2 linked regions of the Oryctolagus cuniculus genome follow. The protein of the gene in region 1 interacts with the protein of each later gene in a biochemical or structural test. Links are inferred from orthologs where the notes say so. Each region holds a gene or a part of one and is shown on either strand. Other genes may lie near its edges. The genes, in order: ARAF and GNA12.

Evidence for each region.
Region 2: the proteins of ARAF (region 1) and GNA12 form a complex in vitro, tested with the Homo sapiens proteins (2 studies listed by BioGRID). The link is inferred for Oryctolagus cuniculus from reciprocal best matches to the Homo sapiens genes ARAF and GNA12.

Annotation. Positions count from the first base shown.
Region 1 is NC_091453.1:33,065,815-33,068,854, forward strand, and holds part of ARAF (serine/threonine-protein kinase A-Raf), read left to right. Parts: intron 1-2,170; coding exon 2,171-2,347; intron 2,348-2,428; coding exon 2,429-2,475; intron 2,476-2,887; coding exon 2,888-3,006; intron 3,007-3,040. UniProt on the Homo sapiens protein: Involved in the transduction of mitogenic signals from the cell membrane to the nucleus. May also regulate the TOR signaling cascade. Phosphorylates PFKFB2.
Region 2 is NC_091450.1:37,494,570-37,498,382, reverse strand, and holds part of GNA12 (guanine nucleotide-binding protein subunit alpha-12), read left to right. Parts: intron 1-906; coding exon 907-1,122; intron 1,123-3,813. UniProt on the Homo sapiens protein: Guanine nucleotide-binding proteins (G proteins) are involved as modulators or transducers in various transmembrane signaling systems. Activates effector molecule RhoA by binding and activating RhoGEFs (ARHGEF12/LARG).

The sequences.
Region 1 (3,040 bases):
CCAGTGTGCCGGCGCCACAAGGCGGAGGATTAGCCTAGTGAGCCGCGGCACCGGCCTTAAACTTCCCTCTTAACATGGCTTTTGCTGTATCCCTTAGGTTTTGGTATGTTGTACTGTCATCTTCATTCGTTTCCTGGAATTGTTTTATTTCTCTTTTGATTTCTTCTGTGACCTCCCTGTTCACTCAGGAGGGTGTTGTTCAGTCTCCATGTCTATGCATATTTTCTGGAGTTTCTGAAGTTGCTTATTTCCAGCTTCATTCCATTGTGGTCAGAAAAGATATGTGGTATGATTTCAGTTTTTTTGAATTTGTTGAGACTTGCTTTATGGCCTAGCATATGGTCTGTCCCAGAGAATGTTCCATGAACTCATGAAAAGAATGTGCATTCTGCAACTGTGTGATGAAGTGTTCTGTAGATATCAATTAGATCTGTTTTGTCCATTGTATAGAATGGCTCTGTTGTTTGTTGATTTTCTGTCTAGTTGATCTGTCCATTGATGAAGGTAGGATGTTGAAGTCCCCTATTATTATTGTATGAGAGCCTGTTTCTCCCTTTAAATCCATTAACATTTGTTTTAAATAGCCAGGTGCCCTGGCATTGGGTGCATATACATTTATTATAGTCATATCTGCCTTTTGAATTGATCCCTTAATCATTTTATCATGCCCTTCTTTGTCTCTTTTAACAGTTTTTGTATTAATATCCTTTTTTTCTGATATTAGGATGGCTACTCCATTCTTTTTTTTGCTTTCTCTCAGCATGGTGTATCTTTTCCCATTCTTTTACTTTCAGTGTGTGTCACACACTTGTGTGATCTTAGTCTTTATCCTCATAATGAATGTCACAGTAGAAAACTCTTGTTCTGGGTTCCTCTCTGTGAGCTGGCAGTTGAATGCTGTTCATTTTTACTCTCATTCAGTGTTAACCATAGTCTTAACCACTATTTAGAATCCTTGTGTGCTGTGTTATCCTCTGATGTGAGCAAAATGGCATCCATGCTATTTGCATTTCTGCTAGCAGTGTGTCTGTGGCTATTACTTCTTTCTGTAAGGAATGAAGATTTTCTCAAAGTAGGGAGAAATGATTCATAGAGACCGAGTTCCCGCAACATAGACCCATGTACCTAGCAGCAAGAACAGGAAGATGACATTTTAATTTTTTTTCTTGTTTTCAAATGTTTATTCATTTATTTTCATCTACTTGAGAGGCAGAGAGTCGGGAAGGGGAGGAATGGGGTGGGGGAGAGACACCATGTACTGGTTTACTCCCCGAAATGTTTGCAACAGCCAGGATTGGGCAGGCCAAAGCCAGAAGCTCAGAATTCACTCCAGGTCTCCCATGTAGGTGGCAGGGACCTAAGTACTTTAAGCCATTCTCTGCTGCCTCCCAGGGTGTGCATCAGCAGAAAGCTGGGTTGGAGCAGAGTAGCTGGCACTCAAACTGGCACTCCAATATATAATACTGGCATCCGTAGCATCGGCTTAACCCTCTGTGGCACAGTGCCCACTCCTGAGAGTGAGATTTTCAGAGTGCTTACTCTGTATGTTCAGCGCTGCGCTAAGCACCTTATAGATTGCTTATTCGCTTATTCCACTGGACATCCTTGTAAGGTAGCTACTCTAGTGATCACAGTTGTACAGTTGAGGGACATGAGGCCCAAAGAGGTTAAATGTCTTCCCCAAGGCTGTACAGTAACTGGTGAAGTCTAGTTTTGAACTGAGGATGTAACAAGGGCCCAGACTCCAAACTCTACCTCGAAGCCTGTCACGGCAATTAAGAGGCTGTAATCACTGTATCACCAGTATGTTTACCTTGCATTTATCTCAGTGTTATGTCAGTGTATCAGTGAAGAGGGTTGGCAGCAGGCCCAGGTAATGGTCTATGGCAGAGGTGTAGAGGGTGTTAACAGTTGGAGATGCTGCTGGTAGGCAGAGGGGTGGGGCTGCTGCTCCCTCCCTCCTGCTTTTGTGGGGAGACACTGATGAGGAAGCTCAGAGCGTAAGTCCCCAGCAGACGTGTCTCACACACTGATGGAACCTGGCAGCAGTCTGACCCTGAGTGCCCTAAAAGACAAAGTGAAAAGGAGTGACAGAAGAGGGCAACAAACAGTGCCATTCCCGATGTTCAGCAAGGACCTGACAGTCGCTGTTTTTCCTCCCCACCCACAGGAAGACACGGCATGTCAACATCTTGCTATTCATGGGCTTCATGACCCGACCGGGCTTTGCCATCATCACACAGTGGTGCGAGGGCTCCAGCCTCTACCACCACCTACATGTGGCCGACACGCGCTTTGACATGGTCCAGCTCATCGACGTGGCCCGGCAGACTGCCCAGGGCATGGAGTGAGTCTCAGGGTTTGGGGGAGGGGAGAGATAGGTGTATAGGAGCACCCAGCCAATTACTACCTGCCTCTACCTCCACAGCTACCTCCATGCCAAGAACATCATCCACCGAGACCTCAAGTCTAACAGTATCTACCTGTTTCTGGGTGAGGGCTTAGAGGGCTGGTTCCCACGGGTGTGTTCTGGGGTTGAAGAGGGAGGGGCCTATGTCAACATGGCTAGCAGCCTGCGAGGGGGCTTTGGGGAGGGCTGTTGGTGAGGAGTCAAGTGCTCCTGGTTCACGTGTGATTCTTGGAGACTGGTCAGGGTCTGAGGTGTGGAAATTCTCTGAGCAGGGCAGGGCAGGTTCAGATCCCATTTGAGGGCCTTCTTGGCTGAGTCACAGAGGGGGGCCCAATGTGGAAGGCATCGCTTGGAGCTCCCCTCTCCCATCCAGGTTGTGCATGGTTTGTGTGACATTGAGGGGTTTCTGGTCTGGGGCACTCATGGGTGAGAGATGTGGCTATTAGGAGTCCCTGTAGTGGCCCTTGACTCTGGTGGACATCTTCCTACATGAGGGGCTCACAGTGAAGATCGGTGACTTTGGCCTGGCCACCGTGAAGACGCGGTGGAGCGGGGCCCAGCCCTTGGAGCAGCCTTCAGGCTCTGTGCTTTGGATGGTGAGTTGGGCCACAGTGGTCAGGGGCCCATGGG
Region 2 (3,813 bases), on another chromosome or scaffold:
CCCGGGTGCCATGTTGGATGAGGGCACGTGCTGGGTGTCTCCCGCGGCCTTCCCCCAGGTGCCATGTTGGATGAGGGCATGTGCTGGGTGTCTCCCGCGGCCTTCCCCCAGGTGCCATGTTGGATGAGGGCACGTGCTGGGTGGCTCCCGTGGTGTCCCCCGGGTGCCGTGTCGGATGAGGGCACGTGCTGGGTGGCTCCAGCAGTGTCCCCCGGGTGCCGTGTCGGATGAGGGCACGTGCTGGGCGTCTCCCGCGGTGTCCCCCAGGTGCCCTGTCGGATGAGGGCATGTGCTGGGTGTCTCCTGCGGCGTCCCCCGGGTGCCGTTTCGGACGAGGGCATGTGCTGGGTGTCTCCAGCAGCGTCCCCCGGGTGCCGTGTCAGATGAGGGCTAGCAGGAGCAGAGCTGTGTGCTGCTTACACACGTCCTTCGTGAGAAGGCCACCTTCCTAGGAGTGACGGCACCCATGTCACCGCAAGGCAGACGCGTGCCGCTCTGCACACTGCCCCGCCTGGGCATCTTCGGCTCTGTGACAGGTGCTGCGTGCTGTCGCATGTAGACTTACCAAGTGGAAACTGAACCTGCCGCTGCGGGCCGCTGTGGCAGCGTGGCAGGCAGCCTTGGCAGGAGGGATTCACACAGCAGAGCCAGGACGGCCTTGGCTGCCCCTCTGCCTCTTTACCGGTGCTCACTCCGGTTCTGCTTTGCGCCGTGTCGCGGTACAGCAGCTCCAGCCGGGAGCGGAACCAGCAGCAAAGCGACCTCTTGGCTGTGTCAGCCACCGAGTCTCGGCTACTGCGCCGTAGCAGCTGAACACAGGCCAAGACAGAGGCCGCGCTGGGCTTCTCTAGTATGATGTAGTGTCTGCTGCACAATTAAATCTTTCTTTTTTCTTTTATTTCCTAGGGCTCAAAGGTTCTTGTCGACGCGCGAGACAAGCTTGGTATTCCTTGGCAGTATTCTGAAAACGAGAAGCATGGCATGTTCCTGATGGCGTTTGAGAACAAGGCGGGACTTCCTGTGGAGCCCGCCACCTTCCAGCTGTACGTGCCCGCGCTGGGCGCGCTCTGGAGGGACTCTGGCATCAGGGAGGCCTTCAGCCGCAGGAGCGAGTTTCAGCTGGTGAGTGCGGCCTCCGGGCGCCTGTCTGAGCTCTGGTCGCGTTTTCCTTTAAAAACCGCAGAAAGGGCAGGAAAGCTGTGAGTGCAGATCCCAGTGACCGACAGCAAAACGCGTGACGGAGGCGAATGAAACTGGTTCAAGGGGAGGAGGATTCACGTGGGCTGGGTAGATGCTTTTGTTCCCGAAGTAGGATTCTTAAAATGGTCACAGTCGGCGCAACTCGGGCGACTCGCCTTTCTAGGTCTTGTTCCTAGTAGGAAGCTGGTGGGCCGTGAAGCAGCGTGGCAGCGTGGCAGCCATGGCGTGTGCGTAGAGGGGAGGACCGAGTGCTGCCGGGAGGGCGGGTGCCTCGGGAGCCAGCCTGCCCGCCTCTGAAGGATCAGGCCCCATGACCAGAGCGTTCCCGTGTCTTGCTTGTTTCTTTTTTTACTTTTCCCTCTAACTGCCCTCCAACGTGGACCACACCCGAGGACACGCGTGCCACTGACGCTGGCGCACGCCTGGGTTCCAGACAGACGCCACCCTCAGCTCTCGGTCCTGAGCTTCCGTCAGGAGACCCTTCCTTCTTCCGTGGTTTACTGATGCATGTGTAGTTTTGCTGTTAGCTCTGTGTGTGTGTGTATGTGTGTGCGTCCGTGTCTGTGTGTGCGTCTCTGTGTGTGTGCATTTCTGTGTGTCTGTGTGTGTGTCTGTATGTGTCTCTGTGTGTGTGTGTCTGTGTCTGTGTGTGTGTGTGTGGTGAACAGTGAGCTACTGAATTTTACCCATTTTCAAACCTAGTGTGTGAATGGTGTCTGGCTGTTCGTGTTCTCTGTTTTACCTTTTTCAAGCGACATCTTGGAATTTATTCACATGATTTGTGAAACCGTGGTCCCTCGTCCTCACTCTGTCCATTGCTGGGATTTGTCCCTGCCGCCGTCAGCGTACTTCTGAATGTCCGATTGTACTGCTAGAAAGCACGGTGTCTCTCCTGCCTGGCTGCGGCTGCGGCTGGGAGGAGTTCCGCCAGTTGTGTGCTCTGGGGCAGGAGTTGCAGGCCGTGGGGTATAAAGCTCCAAGCAGACGTGCTAACACCAGGCAGCTTTCCAAGGTGGTCGTGCCAGCAACAGGGAGAAGTCTGTTGGTCTGCATCCATGCCAGTGTTGAGCATTACCGACCCCAGAGTTTAACTGGACCGCGTTCTGTTAACTGAGATGCCCCCAGGTGTGTTGTCTGTGTGTGCATCTCCTGAGTTATTTCACGCTTTCCTCATTCATCTGTGACGTGCTGGGTGTAGTCTGCTAGAAATCTTTCCAGCTCAGCGTCTGTTTTCTTCACACAGTTTCCCTGATGTTCCCGTGTTACACACCCAGGTCAAGGCCTGGAAGCACACGTCGGTTTAATATCATTAATGAAGCTGTAGACCTGTCCAGACTTAACCTGTCTTCCCTCTGGCATCGTGGGTGCTGAGAGCCAGCCCAGGGTGCTCCGTCGTGTTGAGCTGTCTGCTCAGTCGCCTCCAGTCCGTGACCAATCCCGCGTCCTTCCTTGTCCGGGCGACCCTGGCGTGCAGAGCGTGGTCAGTTGTTCTGTGGGACGTCCCTGTCTGGGTTTGTGTGTTCTGTGCTCCTGGCAAGAAGACGAGAGCGCTGACTGTGCCCTGCCCGGAGCCCGTGTCATGGGCAGCGGTGATTTGGGAGTGTGCAGGCCTGGGAGCTGGATGGCTTGGTGCAGGCGGCGTTTGCCAGCTCCCGCTGCTGGAAGTCACTGCTTTTCTCTGCCGTTGTTCTGTGTCTGGGGGGATACTGTGAGACTGTGCGTCCATACTGCCTCTCCTCAACATTGGCCCAAGAGTTTTCCTCCAACCCTTTCTCATTTGCACATTCTTTCTCTAGTTAATTTTATTTTTTTAAAAGATTCGTTTATTTATTTGAAAGTCAGAGTTACACAGAGAGAGAAGTAGAGGCAGAGAGAGAGAAAGAGAGGTCTTCCATCCGCTGGCTCACTCCCCAATTGACCGTAATGGTTGGAGCTGCACTGATCCGAAGTCAGGAGCCAGGAGCTTCTTCGGGGTCTCCCACGTGGGTGCGGGGGCCCAAGGACTTGGGCCACCTTCCACCACTTTCCCAGGCCACAGCAGAGAGCTGGATTGGAGATGGAGCAGCGTGGACTGAAAGCAGCGCCCATATGGCGCTTTACCCATTATGCCACAACACTGGCCCCATTTAGTTAACTGTAAAAACAGCAACAATAACAAAAGACCTACTTACTTGAAAGAGCCACAGAGATAGAGAGGGAGAGACAGAGAACAAGGTCTTCCATCCACTAGTTCACCCTACAAGTGACTACAACGGCTGATGCTGGACCGCTCCAAAGCCAGGAGCCGGGAGCTTCTTCTGAGTCTCCCATGTGGGTGCAGAGCCCCAAGCACTTGGATCTTCATCTTCTGCCTTCCCAGGCACATCATCAGGGAGCTGGAGTGGAAGCAGAGCAACTGGGACCCAGACCGATGCCCATATGGGGAGCCAACACTGCAGATGACGGCTTTACCTGCTATGCCACAGTGCCAGCCCCTCTCTAGTTAACTTTTACAATTCAGGTGAAGACGTTAAAAGCAGTAGGCACTGTGATTGCCACAGAAAGGAGATTGTAACCTCTAAGGCTAGATATAAGAAACAACAGGAGGGCCTGGCGCTATGGCGCAGCTGGTAA